Linked DNA regions of Drosophila melanogaster. The protein of the gene in region 1 interacts with the protein of each later gene in a pairwise test. Each region holds a gene or a part of one and is shown on either strand. Other genes may lie near its edges.

The links.
Region 2: the proteins of zfh2 (region 1) and YL-1 interact in a two-hybrid assay, tested with the Drosophila melanogaster proteins (one large-scale study listed by BioGRID).
Region 3: the proteins of zfh2 (region 1) and tn interact in a two-hybrid assay, tested with the Drosophila melanogaster proteins (one large-scale study listed by BioGRID).

The regions. Positions count from the first base shown.
Region 1 is NC_004353.4:499,540-505,686, reverse strand, and holds the start of zfh2 (Zn finger homeodomain 2), read right to left. Parts: upstream 3,878-6,147; 5' UTR 3,830-3,877; intron 1,837-3,829; 5' UTR 1,549-1,836; intron 1-1,548.
Region 2 is NT_033779.5:10,967,912-10,973,271, reverse strand, and holds YL-1 (YL-1), read right to left. Parts: upstream 2,830-5,360; 5' UTR 2,719-2,829; coding exon 2,585-2,718; intron 2,525-2,584; coding exon 2,392-2,524; intron 2,316-2,391; coding exon 2,015-2,315; intron 1,956-2,014; coding exon 1,468-1,955; 3' UTR 1,179-1,467; downstream 1-1,178. Other genes in the region: CG16743 (uncharacterized protein), read right to left, coding at 42-764; Tmem214 (transmembrane protein 214), read left to right, coding at 3,150-3,270, 3,344-3,639, 3,696-4,310, 4,376-4,580, 4,689-4,834. UniProt on the Drosophila melanogaster protein: Part of the Tip60 chromatin-remodeling complex which is involved in DNA repair. Upon induction of DNA double-strand breaks, this complex acetylates phosphorylated H2AV in nucleosomes and exchanges it with unmodified H2AV.
Region 3 is NT_033778.4:18,984,894-18,991,021, reverse strand, and holds the start of tn (thin), read right to left. Parts: upstream 3,679-6,128; 5' UTR 3,331-3,678; intron 1,639-3,330; exon of another isoform or gene 1,334-1,638; intron 1,247-1,333; 5' UTR 1,156-1,246; intron 1-1,155.

The DNA.
Region 1 (6,147 bases):
ATTGCGCTAAAGAGAAGGCTTCTCCTTTCTTTCTATGGACAGAGTGGTTTAGCGTGGTGGTTGAGGGATTCTGCTGCAACGAATCACGTATCCCGTACCAAGCCAGTGACAAAGCCAATGGGGTGTGATTCTAACGGCATCAATTAACGCTGTTCTATAAACCACCCATCTAGCCACCCACAAATGACGGAGAACACAAATAGCAAAGCAAATACCAAACCCACAGAGGAAGAGGCTTGAGGCGGCAGGTGCGGACGTGCGGCAAGAGAAGAGAAAATACGAGGAGGAGTAAGTAGCGAAACAAAACAGAAGGGAGAGGAGCGGGAGCCGCGGACTTTAAGTAGCGACAACCGACCAATCAAGTCGCGCTTAGGCGGTTGTCGCATTCAGTTGCTTTACTCTTCTTTTGATTCCGTTTCCGCTGTTTCTGCCATGTTTCCACTGTTTCTGCACTGGCAACATCAGAGATTTAACAGCTAAAGAGCGAAGCCCTAAGCTCTCAGTATGAGGGCTTTGCTCTCGTCATCATTGCTTTTGTCTGTTATGTGCTTAATTACTGGATGATTTTAGTTCTCTGCTCGGCATTGTTATTTTTCTGTTCGGCTCAGCTTATTTCGGTAAAGTTCAATTCGTTCGTTGAACCAACTCTCAAGACTCAAAGCACAAGGGACTAGTAATCCCCTTCCACCTCTCTGTGAGAGCTTCATCGTCATTGGCTAATTAGAAGTCTTTAAGTAATTAAAATGTTCCAATGGGTGACTTGACATGATGAACCAATAGCTATTATTTGGTGCGCTTATACGAAACACTAATTCCGCAGACAATAATGTTTGCAAATACTTGTTCGTTCTTAATTTGCAGCCTTTGCTGTTAAATACGAACTTATTTAATGATATTTAACTTACATATAGGCGTTCTTATTGCCTACACTATATGCAATTTTTCTCAGAAGTATGCAATGTAGTGAAGGTATATTCTTGATCAGCAAAAACAGCCGAGCTTATATAGTCAGTTTGCCTGCTTGTTCCTACGCCAAATACTCTCTCAGATTTAAGGCTATAAGCTATTAAAGCATTAACTTTTCCCGAAAATATTCTTTCTATTGTATTTAGTATATACGTAAATATGTCGAAACGAATCGGACTCATTAATAAAAAAAATGTCATAGAAATAAAATGGAAACAATATATATATTTTCTCATTAACCGTCATTGTTGATCTATAGTATTTGGGACTCAACATGAAAGGTGTAACCGAAAATTCATTGTGTTATGAGGTATTGCTGATTGTATAACTGAGGTAATGATGTCTTATAGACGGCTATGAGGGTATATATAGTCGATATACACGAATAATGAATACGTTCTTGTTTTATTCATATATAAAATAAGATTCGTAACTGGTTTGTACTTGAAAATAAAATACTATCGAGACATATTTTTTATCCATATCTTCTGGAGGCTATGATATGATTATTTGTATACAAAGGACCAATTTTGCGCATACAACTAGACAACATACCCTTACCAAATCTAATATTGTACTCACTTGAGGTCCTTATGAAAAGTTGAATCCTTAAGCCATTCGACGATTGAAATGAAGATCCTTCAAATAAGGGCGTTCGATTTCTCCTTGCTGTTTTTGTTTTTGCACTTATGTATGTTTGCGAGCGTTTAGACTTGGAGTAAGTTGGGTTATTAGCTAGTTCAATCGTGAATTACTTTAAGTTAGCGGCGATAGTTTGTACTATGTTATGTTTAACTTTAGGCTTAAATATTATAGGAACTTTTGAATCGAGCGCTCGTGGATTTGGGCGAGATAATTAGCCTGCGGCACCTAAAGAGTAATTTTGTGAACAATTTTATTATTATTTTCACCTGAAATATTTAGCTATTACAAGTTAGTGTTATACATTCGAATTGTGCAAAGTTCTTCAGACATTGGTATATTTTATATATAAATTATTGGTTACATATTTTACTGACCCTCAAATACGGTCTCTCTCAATAGGGTTTGCGGTTTTGATTTTGCATTTATGTGAAGCCATCAACTTGAGACAGGTGGTCAATAGACAGGATGTTAGGGAGAAGCCGGCAGGCAACAGCAAGGCTTAAAAAGAACCCAATTAAGTAAAAACCCTGATGTGCCAGTTTATGTACATATGTATACAGGTGTATGCGGGTGAAATTGCCGTGACCAGTGGCAGGTGACAGTCGAAAGGTGATCGACCCACAGCAGTCAGTTGGCAACACAAAAGTAGTTTTGCCAAGGACTTTACCACTTTATCACTGTACATACATATATGGCTCCAGTTTTTTGAAAGAATGATTGTACTAAAGACCAAATAAAAGAAATTCACAATGGCTTGAAAAGACATTAACTTTCACACAAAATCTTTTTTTTATATAGAACGAACGGGTGCTGAAAACTATGTTAAATGTCTTTTTTTCTTACACTTGTAATTATATCTGCAATGTGTGCAAATTTCAAGAGAGCAAATCGAGCGAATTGGATGAGTGCAAGGAGAGTGTGTTCGCGCGCGTTACGCCCCTTGATTTAATTTGCCAACTTCTTGGGATTTTGCATTTTAATATAAACACTTTTACTCCTAGTTGGCTGCTTATATCGCAAGCGAGACAGTTGTCTCTTTTTTATACACACATTTTCACACACGCACAGTCACAAGCACAATCACAAGTGGGAAGTTCTGCTTCCTTTCCCTCCCATCACTTGCCATCCGCCCACCCCAGTGCAGACACCGCGACGAAGAGGGGAGAGCTATCAAGACCAAGACAGAGACAGAAATAGACACACAGCGTTTTTGCATATACTTCTCTCGTGGACCACGTGCTCATTAAATCGCTGAAGGCAATTCATAGAGAACATCCAACAACCGACTAGCGCGGCACAGCACCCTTTCCTGTGCCTGTGGTGTGCTCTTTTCAGCTTCTTTCCTTCCTGCGACTTCCGTTCGCACACCCTCGTTGCTCTCAGCTCAAGGCAGCTCGGCTTTACTCGGCTGGGATCGTTTGGCACATAATGCAATTAAAAATAAAAAACTATTCCCGGACGGAATCCGTTTTCGATAGCTTCGATACATCAAACAAAATAGTGCAGGATTGTCCTCATTGGAAGTGGAATGAAACTCTGCTTTTGTCTACGGATTGAAGTTTTTGTTGCTAGGGACCAGAACTCCAATACCAATGCACCTCACACATAAGGATAAGGGTGAGTGTATTGTTTTCTGCTCGGAACTGCACCGTTAGCATGCACCCATATTTCCGACTGATTTAAACATGTAGCAGAAGCGAACTGAATATTTTACGAAGAAGTGCCGCAGAATTGTTCCGGCATGGTTGTTATTTACTCTAATCGAATGTATCCATTTGCAGGTATGGGCAGGAAGTTGGGCTGATCTCGCAATGCATTTTTTTGAAACTGGTCGAAAGGTTCACGGTGTTCTTCATTCTTGCCATTATAGGTTTTTTTTGTGATACTCTGTTCGACACAACGCAAAAGTAAAAAGTAAATATAAAACTCAAGTAGACGCCGTATAACAACGCGCACCCATATCGAACTTTACATAGATATCACTATTCGCAGAATTGGGATTGGGCTAGCAGTGAATGATTGATTACAGAGGTAACACATTTCAGATTGCAGTTAGTTTCACTCTTTGGTTGTTTTTTACTATGTCACTTTTTATGTTTTAGCGCATTTAACCAGCGAATAGTCACAGTCACATTTAGTCTCACAGTCACGCCAACGGCAAATATATCATAATGAAGATCTACAGCGAAACCGCATCTTTGAGAGCTCTAAAACTCACCATCCGACCCGCATCTGACTCATTCAACGTTTTTTTTCGACTGAGCTGAGAGGCAGGCTTACTTGTTTACTTGCTGGTTAATGCTCTCCGGGGCTCTCGAGCTCTGCTCTCCTCTTCTTTATTCTCCGAAAGTCCGACCGAGCCGAACAGAATCGAGTCATGCGTACAAATCAACATTCAAGAGAGACACTGAGAGACTTTGGGAGATTTCCGTAATGGGGTAATTATTGCCACGCAGAGTGGTAATTACGTTAGAGCGAGACGGGAGATGATGTGATAAAACGGTGTACCAATGTGCTTTATGCTTTCACAGCGAGCCTCTCTTTTCCTTATTTAATTTCTGCCTGTTGTTATGCATGTGTGTGTGCCTTTGTTTTGTGTGGGTGCAGCTTGGGCAATCATCTTTCATTATTTTTGTATTACTGCCGACGGATGTTAAAAGATCCAACACGGCAAGTTCCACATCCCATTGTCTGCAGAATGATCAGAAATATTATAGTAATTAAACTGGTACAAAACTATCACAATGTCTCTTTTGAACCGAAATACCTACAGGCAAGCATCGTGGACTCAACATTTAAAAGTAGATCCTTTGTTTTCCCAATAACTACTCAATATTTGTATTCGGAGATATCAAAAATATCTATAAATACAAAAATATATGTATAATATTATTCGTATCACATTGTCATTAAATAAAATTTTTTGAATGTGCAAACCGATTAAGCTTTTCCCAATATTATGTGTGTAATATTTTTTATGTTCGCTATAGTAGAATGTATGCGACCCGAGATGATCTTGAATATGCTTACTTACATATGTATTTAGGATCACTAGCAGAGCCGATCAGGCACGTCCGTTATGAATTATGAAACCTTGAGTTCTTTTTAACATTTTTCTGGACCAAAAGAGAATGTTTATACTTCCGCGACATGTCTTGCGTAAATATTGTACAATATTTGTAAAATATCATGCGTACATGCGTACTATTCCACCGGAATAGTCAAAAAATGCATGTTAAAATGTTTCTTCGTTGAACAAACCACTCGAATCATTAAAAAATAATTGAAAATTTTTTTTATGAAGAATTTTTTAAGCTTAAGAGTGCAAACGAGAAAGTTCAACATTTTTAGGACTATCGATAGAATCGATCAGAAAGACAAAATAAATCGAAAAGTTTGTGCATGGCAGTTTTGGGCATTAGAGTGGGCGTATTTATGATACGTCTCTGGAATGTATCTGGAATCTGAATGTTTAATAATCGAGGCGTTCATACGGACAGACGGATTCATACGGATCGAATCTAGTTATCCTGGTCAAGAATATATATATACTTTTAGGGTTTTTTTTCATCGAATCTGGTACCCTATTATAACTTTTGATCGATGCGTACATGCATGCATGCGCTGCATTCTTCTTTCTCTTTTATCTTTTACAGTTTCCGAGATATCGGTGTTAATACGGACAATCGGACCTTTTAAGTGATCCTGCGCTTATATATGCTTATAGGGTCAAGTTTCTACATCTACATCATTTAATCTTTTATTTATTAATTAAAATATTTTGTTGAAAGTGTGTTTGTAATATAATATATAAAAAATATAAAAAATATATTTTGCATATGCATTACATATGCGATGATATTAAATTTGTCATATGGGTTAATACACGGGTTAATATTTATTATAGAGTGGTGCAAATGTCCCGGTGTCGGTGGATCCTATCAACTACAAATCAGTCAGCTAGGGGAAAAGCGAACGGAAAATTTCAACAGTTTTTGGCATTGGGAAATAAAAAAAGAAAAATTTTAAATTGTTCAAAGGCATGGTCGCGACCGTTATGGGGAGAAATCAAAAAATAAAAATATATTTTTCAAAACTGTGGGCGTGGCAGTTTTGGGCGGTTTGTGGACGTTAGAGTGACCGTGGCAACAAGCTCGCACTGCGTCTATGTCTCTAGAAACTGTATATTTAATCTCAACCTTATTGCTTTTATAATCCCTAAGATCTAGACGTTAATATGGACAGGCAGACGGACGGACAGGGCCAGATCGACTCGTCTATTGATCCTGATAAAGAATATATATACCTTATATGGTCGGAATGTCATCCTTCTACCTGTTACATACTTTTTAACGAATCTAGTATACCCTTTTACTCTACGAGCAACGGGTATAAATATGCAAGCGATGCAGTTCAAATGGTAATTTCAAAAATAAAATATTTTATGAATATACAGCATATATGTACATATGCCTATGTAAAAGTGTACTCACCGTCGCACACGCAGTATTTTGAATTTGAATTTTTAATCATATA
Region 2 (5,360 bases), on another chromosome or scaffold:
CGACGTTTAAAGTTTCATGTAACATTGTATCTCGACTGCGACTACGTTGAAGATTGGTGGTGACCGTCCTCGTTGTATTCCTTGTTGACCTTAAGGGAATGATTAATAACGCTCGAGCCGCCTGGAGGATAGTTCGGGGCAGGCCCTGATCCCGGGCCGCTGGCAGGCTGCTGTGCCTGAGGCTGATTGGGGATCGCATTTGGGTTGTTAACTGGATTCTGTCCGGGAGCCCCCTGCGGTGGATAGCCGCCTGGATATCCGGACGGGTCGGGTGGATACATTGATGGTGGCGGAGCTTGTTGCGGGTGTGGCGGTGGTGGTGGTGGTGGGGGCATGTACAGATTGTAGGGATATGAAGGATAGCCTCCCATTTGAGGATACGGAGGATACGGCATGTACGGATTGTAGAGATATGAAGGATAGCCTCCCATTTCTTGATACGGAGGATAGCCCGGATTAGGATATGCAGGATAATTGTACTTGTGCTCCGTCTTGGAGTGCTTGTGCTTCTTCTCTCCACTGCTGCTGCTGCTGCTGTCGCTGCTATCGCTGTCCGTCCTAACCACTTCGTACTGAAGTAGCAGTACCAGAAGGACTCCAATCGCCGCACAGCTCTTCATTTCTCCGTTTAAACGCACGACGTTCGTTTGATCTAAGCTCACGGGTATGACTAAATCTTGCTCACACAATACCTTGTCCCGTTCCCGTTCCGACAATTCAAATAGCCAGCGCGTGCGTTGATTTTGATAAGTCGACAAAAACATACAGATGCGACAAGGTTGCGGCAGGGCCCACTCAACTAATTCCCTGTAAGAGTTTAGGATTGAAAAACAATTTCATTCGGAAATGAACAATACTTCGCCCATAGATTATAAATAGAGAATACAATGGGTTAATAATTTATGTGATGTAATGTCTCATACTTATTAATTAGTTATTGTGTGTCGGAACAACCGCATTTCCTCCAGATTTTGTTATATATTGCAAAGAGAGGCTGTGTGCTTATCAATTTGACGCAAATTAAGCGAAACAATTCTTTTGAATAATCTTAATAGAAGACTGCGACGCTTTTATTATTTAGACAACTAAACTTTTAAATAGAGCGGCAATTAAAATTAGATACTAAAAGGTAATAAATGGGTTTTACATATACAAATTGGATTAGCAAGATAAACTTTCTTTTGTGTAAACTGTTTTATCAACTTCTTAAGTTAATAAACCGGATGCTGCTGATAAATAAAATCAAAACAGACTGTGCGTTGATTATAAATACTTTTTAAAGATAACGTTTTGGGAAATACCCTATGTACTACTTTTCCATTGTCGCCATTGTATGAAATATATTAGGTAATCGTTTGGTACTGCCTGAAATTGACGAGGGTTGTCCAAAGAGTAGTTTGTGATTTCTTATACCTTTTTATTCGAAAAATACGTATAGCTTAATGAACTATAAAATTGATAGCATTATTAGTTATCTCCGTTTTTGCTGGCAGCTGCCGAAGCCTTCAGACGATTCTCCTTGACCAGCTTGCGCCATTCCAGCCATTTGGCCAGTTCGGGTTGCTCGCTGCCGCCGCCTTGCTGTTCCAGCTGCATGTAGTAGGCTTCGCGCAGAATTTTGAAGGCCTGGATGCTGTAGTATGGCTGCTGTGTGATCGGGTCAAAGTAACGGGCTGGCAGCCTGGTGATTGGACAGATGCCATTGCTGGCTTTGGGAGGCGCCTTGTGGCGGAAGAGGCTTTGAAACACCTTGTCATTGAAATCGTTCTCGATTGTAACGAATGTGCGTTCGCACTTCCCAGCAAGATCCTTTGAATCGACCGCAGGGTTTGCTCCGCGAGTGGGCTTTCGCATCGCTGGCATGGTTAGTGAGTGGTAGCGTATCGTGGGTCCGGAGAACGTGCGCTTGGTGGGACGTGATTTCTTCTTCTCCAGCTCCATTTTCTGGAATTTCTCTGTGAATGCAACAGCAAATTGTAAAATAGCTGCTTCCTTGGTTGCTTTAGATACCCACCCAAAGATTTAGTGTTTTCTTCCTCGGTTATTTTGGCCTCCTCCAGCAGCTCCTCCTGCGTGGGCATGTAGTCCTCCACGCGCACCTTCTTCTTTTTGCGCTTGCGGGCATCGTCCAACTCTTTGAGGCGTATTTTGGTAGCCTGTGTCTTGATGGCCGTGGAAGTGCGTATGGATTTGCGGCCGGAATCGAGGACCGTGAAGCGTGGACGTGGCCGCCGTTTCGTTACCCCACCACCAGGTCGTTTCTTGTGCAGGGCCGGCGTTGCCTTTGTTTCCTTTTTGACTGCAGGCTTGGTTTCCTGCGGAAATCATATGTACCATTTAAACACATTCAGTAATCACAGGATTTTATCGCATTTTAAGAATGGTTCGCACCTTATAAGCCTTTGTGTTAACGACACCGCGTTTCCGCTTTTTCTCGGGCGCCTCTTCCTGATCCGAAACGGGCTCGTCGTTCTCATCGATACTGAAGTCGGAGTCAACCACATCTTCCTCTTCGTCTTTTTGCCTGCAGAGTGAATTTTATATGGCTTGAGCATTTAAATTTATTCAAATGATTAGTGCTCACTCGTATTCCTTATCCTCTTCGTCCTCCTGAAATCCACCATAGGACGTTTTGTAAAAGTCGTCCTCCTCTTCCTCATTGAGCAAATGAGCTATTTTGTTGCCGGCATTGTTGCGCCGTGATCGCGAGGCAGCCATTTTTGTTATTTATATATAGAAACTATGATTTAAAGCAGCTATTAAATAATAATATTTTACAATTTGTAAATGTAAACAAGCAGAGCAGTGTGACCAATGTAGCAAACATAGTATATATCGCAGAGGCTTTACAACTTTGGTATGCGTTTCAGCCCTGGTAAAGAAAATGGTTTCTCCTGCATTGGCAGTTATTCAAACACATTTAAAACATAGCTAAATTTATTTATTTATCTATTACATGTATCACAACAAAAAGCAGGCAGCTGCTTTAAAATCACATTAAAAAGCGGTCGGTAATTCAACTACCGAAAGTAGACCACATTACTTTACACTTGCGCTGGCCACACTCTTGGCTTGTTGCTTTTTATTCTGCCGGCTGCCTGCATTTTCTGATTTAATTTAATACCATCGATAAAAAGACTGCTCGCAACATGTCGGAACAATGGGAGGTGGTCTCCAAGTCGCGCAAGCAAAAGAATCTGGACAAGAAGGTGTCTGCACACAACGAGCAGAAGCGCATCGCGGCCCAGTTGCCCAAACTGGAGGAGCTGTGTAAGAATCTTTTAAAAGGTGCACCTTGCAATGCGATTACATGTTTGCCCCTGCCATTTTATTCACTTCGCAGTGCCAACTCAGCGGTATCGCAATTTGTTCGGCAGCAGCAACAACAACAACAGCAAGTCCCATTCCCCTGCGAAATCTAGTTCAAGTGCCTCATCTTCCTCAAAAGCCAATAAGTCGCCAGTTAAAAAGCACACCGCAAAGAATGCCTCTACCCAAAAAAGGACCACGTCGGCAGCCGCATCGAAGCCAAAGACTCTGGAGCTGGCCTTGAGAAACATCACCCGGGATGATTTTGCTGCCCAACTGGAGCAGGTGAAGCTCAGTTGTCCTGGCTCCGAGCTGCGCTGGTTAAGCCATGTATGTTTCTAAAGGAAATGTGCCTAAATATTTGCTCACCTATCGTTGTCCCCCAGATTGCGCTATACTTCAATGAAGCCTTGTCCTATGACTGCGATCCCATCTTCTCCGGCCGCTCGGCTCAGTATCCCAGCAATTTGGCCAGCGCCTCGCTCAAGTACTCAATTGTGGAGTTTCTGGGCAGTGTGGGCGAACAAAACCTGGAGTATTTCTTCTACTCCCTGCTGGATAGCATGTCAACGGATCTAAACAACAATCAGACAGTGGCAGGCTACAAGCTCATCCTACAGTTGATCGGTCAAAACTGGCCGAACATTTGTTCTAGGAACCTGGCCAAGACTGCGTTGCTAAGGAACTCCTATCAGAACCGTAGCAACATCTGCCTGAGCATCCTGTGGGCAATTGGACAAGGTGGCTATCAGTCCCTAAACGAGGGCGTTCGCGTGTGGCAGAACCTGATGCTGCCCAACCTGGAGCTAAAGCAGTACACCAAGTTTGTGGTCGAGTATATGGAGCGGGCTCTGAGTGCAGCAGCTGTCCGGAAGACAGCGGATCCTCTGCAGATCAACCAGCAGGAGTTCTTTGCCACTTACAATGCGCTCAATGCACCCTATAACCACCTGCCCAAGGAATGGCAGCAAAGTCTGAAGCGTAGTGCGCGTTTGTTGCTTGTAAGGACGAAAACAATTGATAGTTGTCCCATTGTTTCACTGACCTTTCTTCCTCCTGTGTGTAGCAACACTATATCAACAGTCCTGTGAGGCATGCCAACATATTCCTTACGCTCTTCCGGGAAATAAGCGCCGGATCCAAGCAGACTAATGAGATCGAAGGCTGTATTAGTTGTCTGCTCAGCAGCGGCAGAGATGATTGCCTCAGGGTGTGGCGCATGAACTACAAGAAGCAACAGTTGCCTAGTCTACTGCTTCTGAAAGCTATAAGTACGATCTACAGCTGTGAAAATTCATTTAATTGGATTTTTGTTTAAAAGTACCACCCACACTTAACGTTAATGTGTTATCTAATATTGAATTTCTATCTTTTCCTAGACGACAATTGGACCACGTCTACCCATGAGTTGGCTACGTCGACTGTGTATCACTCTTTTCTGCAAGATGTGGCGAATCTGAACGAAGAACTGCAGGGAAGCAAGAGAAACGAAGGTCACCTAGATGATTTAAAGGAGGTTTTGTTGGTGAGTGCGACTTAAGTATATCACTCGATTCCAAGCATAAGGCTCTGATCCCAGATCGATAAAAGGTGAATGTTGAATGTGTGTTGTTTTATCTTTTATAGTTTTATTGGAAAACTAGTATATAGGTAATATATTTATTTTGTTAGCTTTTTTAACCCAAACTTATTATTCAAACTTAAATGAAATCAGAAACACTATAAATTTGAATTTTCTCACACCTCTGGTAACACTGTTTAAGTTAAGTGGTCTGGCTTAGTACATTACGTACTCTGGTCACATTGCTTTAGTGAAAAGAAAAACGAAGGTATAAACTTGTAGAACTGCCGTCTAAAAGTGAATAATTTATTGCAATCGGTGCTAAAAAGAATGATATGAGCTTATTACACTGCAGCTAACTAATGTAAAACTCTTCACGTAGAAGTGGCCGAACTGTTAGCCGTTAATGAAGTTAGAGTTCTTTAGGAGGACGCTGCCAACGCGACGTCGCTGCGGGAAAGAGATGGAAAGCGTTAGCCGGCGTTCGTCC
Region 3 (6,128 bases), on another chromosome or scaffold:
GCCAAGCACACGAGCTGAGCAACAGTCTACAATATTTTAAATATATATACAATCCGCGGCATTCTCTCCCGATTTCGCTGTGTATCTGCAGATATATACCGTCTATATATCGCCAGAGAGCGAAACAAAACAAAATGCGCGATCGTCAGACACAAACGCAAAAATATATTCTTGGCATCGTGCGTATGTATCTTTATCTACAGTTTGGCTGCAGCGCCATTAATAAGATACAAAGATACAAATGAGTACTTCGCACTGCATGTTACTTCCAAATGGAGTTCCCATTTCTCGCCTCGAACCTGGACATCGGCTACTTATTGGATTAACCGAAAAGATTTTCCTCCATTTAGTACGAATACATGCACGCACACTCTTGACGTCATCAACTGAGCTGATTTTCTCATTCGGACGCACGCCGGCATTTTCCATCTATATCTCATTGCTGGGCTATTTGTGTGCTTTTGTGTATCTCGCTGTAACGGGCCCTAAAAATAAATTTCATTGAAAATTGGAGCGAACATCGCTCGAATTCGCTGTTCCGTCAAACTAGTGGAACATTTCTCTGTGCCAAGTGAAAAGTTTCTACTTCCATTAGAAGTTTTCCCTTAACTTAAGTAGCAGTAAACCATTAGTTTGCTGCAATACGAACTAAAATTTCATATTCCATTCAAAAAGTTGTCCCTAAAAGTTACAATTAAGCTTTTTCTCAAACATGTTCAAAATATCTATCTGTATCTATTAACTACATATAATTGCATTCGGTAAGTAAGTAGGTTAAGTTCCCTACACAAACATTTGTTACTTTTACCAAAATAATTCTATCCAGTTTCGCAGTTTTTTTTTCTGTGCATGCTTCTCAAGGTCAGAACTTCGCTCCTCTAGCTCTGTATATATCATTCTATCTCCCTATGGGAATATGCCGAAAATAGAACTCACTAGCCCGGAATTCACAGACTGCAGTCTGCACTCCTAGGCCAAAAAGAAAAACAAATAAAGAAATGAAAACTGCACTGTATTTTTGGGCTATAAATAAACGGAGCAGACGGGAGAAGCAGATGCAATCGAAACTTTTTGAAATTTTAGCTGCACTCCCAAAGGAATACTATAGAAACTACAAAGTATTGTGACGTTCCAATTTCAGCGGTGATAACTTACGTTTCCAAGTGTTGTTTTCTTCTTATTGTCTACTTGGGTATCCGAGGCGCCCTTGAAAGGGGCCTGTTCCTTTGGCTGTTAACTCTGCTGGCTGAAATTAAAAAGAAAATATATTAAATTTAGAGCCAAAGGCAATTGTGAGTGAATTGTGGGGAGTGAGGGTCGAGTAGCCATTTACCTGGCCATTAACACGCTGCGCATAAGCCGCATCATGCCAACTTAATTATACGGCCTCAAAGGCTGCGGCACGCAAAACAATGATGAAGGCGGGTGGTGAAAGTTGGAATTCATTGGATGGCATGGGATTGGATGGGATTGGATAGTATTGAATGGGATTCGATTGGGCGCGGTTGACAGTCGAAGATAATGAAGTTCGGAATGCGCTTAAGGTTCGCTTATTGTGCACTGCGACAGATAAGCTCCTCGGTGGGCCACACACTCTTGACCAGGTTAATGAATAATCAGCTGGGGTCGAGCATATGGCTGCGAAGGTAGATCTTTTTAATTAACTTGCCGTGGCCGAGTTCCTTTCGACCAAAGGAAACAATTAAACAATGGAAAACCAATTTCCGAAACTATAATAACATGATTACATCGGCGGTCTTTTGAGCATCGAACGCGTAAAGGGAATTTAATAGAAATTAATTGTTCACACAATTGCATTGATATCCCTTATAATTAATTTTCTTTAATGAGCACAATTCGGAGCTTCATTGCGTTACTAAAATGATACAGTAAAATGTGGCATGAAAAATTATACATCAATTCATACATTTTATGATGATTTCGTTTTTAGTATTATTGCAGATTGGTTTTATTTGCAATCACTAAGCTTTTGAATATAGCAATATTTAAACATAATACAGATTTCAGCAACCAACAAGTTGACTTAAAACAAGTGACTTAAAAACTTCAATAGCTCGGAAACATTTGGAATATTTTTCCATATTAGATTTTGGTAATATAAATGCTATTTGTCTGTTGAAACAAAAACTTTTCAACAAAAAGGTGTACAACTTTATGTAGTTTTTAAAATACCTTTAAATGAATGGATAAAGAAAATGAGACAACACTAAGAAATCATAAGCAATACATTTACTTTAAAGTTGCCAACGCGCTACTTTCGAGCAGTTTTTAATTTAAGTTGCAAAAGTGGCCAGTAAATTCGAATCAAAACTAGTTTAGGTGGATATCTATTGCCAGCGTGCTGCAATGGCACTTCTTTAATGCTGCCAGCGACCTTGAACTTCCGCCCAGCTGAAGCACACTCGAAAAGAGCGGAGGAGGGATGGGGTTGGAGGGCAGATGAAGTGAATTGAAAAGAGGCGAGTGCTCGCAATAAAGCTAAAAGGAAAACTGGAAAAAACTGTTGCCTACTTTCCGGCGGCACATAAATTTAAACCGCACACGCCTCTCTCACTTAATCTTCCGTATTATTTTTATTTTTATATTTCGAAACGAGAAATTAATTGTTTTGTGTGAGAGGTGTGAATATAAAAATAAATACGAGAAAGCCCACCACAAACATTCCAAATGGATGGCGAGAATGGGAGAAGGAACAAGCAAAAGCAAAACCGAAACCGAAACAAAAGCAAACAAAGCAATCAATGATAAGCGAGCAGCGGGCAAAAGACAAACACAAACAACAGAAATGGAAATAGAAAATCTCTGAAAATGTCGCTGATTGAATCGAACTAAAAATAAGGCAGCAACACGGCGTATGAGCAATGTGCGTCTCTGTGTGCGTGCCTGTGTGTGTGAGTGTGGGCAAATTATTGCCATGCTTTCTGATGAGATATGCACACACACACACACACACACACACACGTAATATAGCGTATAACAGATCCTCATCAACATATATTTGTATACATGATTATGTCAAAATTTGTTAATAAATTTTGAACGCGAAGCCGAAGGAGATGAAAATAATTTTGACAGCTTTTCACGAATGTGGGAGTGTGCACACGGTGGGATGTTGAGAAAGCGCAATTTTCAGCCAGGTGACATTTTCCCAAGCTCCTTCTCTCGCCGAGATTCTCACGCCTTTCGCCGTTTTCTCTCTTCTTTTTTTTACATAATCAGCAGCCATTGAATGCGTCGAGCTCATCTCCATTTGAATGCGTTTCCAAAAACGAGCTTAAAATCAGGACGTATCCACCCCGTTCGACTCACTTGCGTTGGCTTCCTCTATTTCCTGATGCTTCGCGAAACTTTTGCAAATTTATTCGCATGCCTTGGCGGCACAAGGACTTTCACTGACTTCACTTTCAAACTGAGGTACGATGTATTACCGCCTTGGCTCAAACCAACACTCGCGTCGCGATTACTGGTGCTTTTGGACGCACCCTCACGCACTGCGCGACAGGTGAAAGATCTTTGGGTAGATCTTTGCACCCCTCTATATACACTTAATAGATATATATATATGGATATAGGTGGTTGGGAATCGAACTGGGCTATAGCTATTATCGGCGTATCGGTCCGCACGTCCACTCGCGAGCGTGCCAGAAATGAAAATGAATGTTTTTCTCTGCTCGACTCTCGAACGCTTGATGATCAGCCGTTCTTGAGGTGAAATTTTATAAATATAACCTGAGGCAACAACAAAAGTGCCACAAATATTTCTGCGTCTTCTTCCCACTTTCACGTAGCACTTTTGTTGTTTCCCAGCTTCACCCGACCCCAACGAACCTGTGCAAGAATTATATACATATATACATATAATATAATATATGTACCATAATTGTCTGTAAGAATTCCTCTCGCTTTTTACAATGTCGCGCAGAAAGTCCAAGAGCGACAATATATTGTTCAATACGTATTCTTACCTGTTATTGTTCTGGCTTATTTCGCAGTTATTAGAGTGAGATTTTCACTTTTCTTTAGTCCAGCGGAAAGAAAAGCTGAGGAAAAGATCGACGCCCACGCATTTATCTGGCAGAATGATTCATTTTCGAATTTTTTTAAATATTTATAGAAATATTGATACTTATATAGAATAAGGAAATTGATGTCTTAGCAAATATCGCGCGAGTTTTATGTAGTTATAGAATTCAGCATAATTAAAAGTGTTAACAGAAAGACAAATGATTTAGAGATAGGTAGGTTTTTTACTCTAGACATCATAATAAAATATATACGCTTAAGATTTGTCATTGAATTATTAATATTTATTTCATCTTAATTTATTAAGTTCTGTTTCTAAGCACTTGTTTACGTAATATATATTAATAATATGCCTAAGAAGATCAACATTTGTTACTATGTTGTCTTAAATCATTTAGTTCTTTAATATTACTTATTTTTCGCTTATTATTCTATAAATACCAAATTCCTCTCCGTCATCACATGCAGTATGATTGGTCTGCATTTAGCCATCCTCGCCAGACATTCGGTCTTTTGTTCGGTCATTTGCTTGTCCCACATGACATCTTGTCAATAGGCTGATGAATCGGGTTAGCCGTTAATATATTTTCGGAAAAAATAGCGAGCTAAAACAAAGCCGCAGCCGCAGTCAAAACAAAAACAAACCGAAAAAATGCGAATTATGAGCGGGCCAAAACAAAGATGTCAACACGTTCGCCAAGGCAGCTCAAGTTGTTGACGGACTCTAGGTCAGTCCCACTGACAACGCCATAGCCACAGCTATATCCTCTATTACACGCTGAGAAAAAGTTACTAAAATGGTAACCAAATGTATTTTTTGAATATATATAACATACATAATTAGGTTTCGAACAGCATCTCTTCATCAATATAATATTTTGATGTCACTAATAAAAAGTTAAAGTGTGTGCCCCTCCTATTCGATGCTGATATAACGAAAATTATTAATTAACGATGTTCCTTTGAAAGTAATTAATTTATCAAACTGCTTTCCAAGAATTAACTAAGGATTCGTATATTTTCCATGTGCATGAGAATCACCGCTGGATTTGTGCGCAGTTGCTGGTTCTCGTGAAATTGAAATTGCGTATTGCGGACATTGCATTGTGAACACTGCAACAAGGCTATCGGAACGGCGACAATTGTATAGCACGAGTTAAGACCCATTTCCATTAGCGGAGCGTCCGAAATAGTGGCATCTATTCATTCCCAGCATATTTGAGAGCAACTCATTAGGCCCGAGCCATGATTAATTAGAACTGATGGATGGCCAATTGACGAATGGAAGGCATGGCTGCGGCGATGCGAGCCAGGAGCCAGCAGCCAGGACGCATTATTGATGGACACGTATGCTGGGAATCCGGAACCTCCAGTGAAAGCCACTCGACCAGGGGACACTTGGCATTGCCAGCCAGCGCCTCGTCCTAATTGCCCAAGAAAGGGCAGCCAATTCAGTCAACGCAGGAGCAACATGGTAAAGTAGCAATAATTACGAATTAGCAGACAATTTCAAGTATTAGCCAAGTCCAACTTACTAAGAGGGTGGTCGCAAAAGTTGCTAGTTGATTGGTATTTTACAGCAAAGTTTAATTGAAATCGGCCAGGGATTATGGCCCTGAAAATAAGCTTAGTTCAAGGGCTTTTGAAGTAAGCTAATCCATTTTGTTTTACAAAGAAAATAGCTACCAAGCTTATCTCTTTTCCTTGCAATAAGCTGTATTAAATTGATAAATTTAAAGGAGAGTCAAAAAAATATACCCAATATTGAAATTGATTCTTAAGCTTGAATTCCTGGGGGATTAAAATTTCAATTGAATTATGGAGAGTTAATTTGTGGAAAATCCATTTTCTAGGAATTTAAGCTTTTTTGCCAATGGATTCGCTTTCAGAGAAATCCCTTGTATATGTTTAAACTCGTTATGAACTGCTTAATTTTTCTTTAATTGATGCATATTTTCTATAAACTAAAGCATATTGACATTAAAGCTTTCCGCGAAATAATAATTGATTCAAATTGTTAAGCTTGAATTAGTGTGAAATTTACATTCTGTAAATTTATGCTACATTTTTCCAACCGTTTTCCG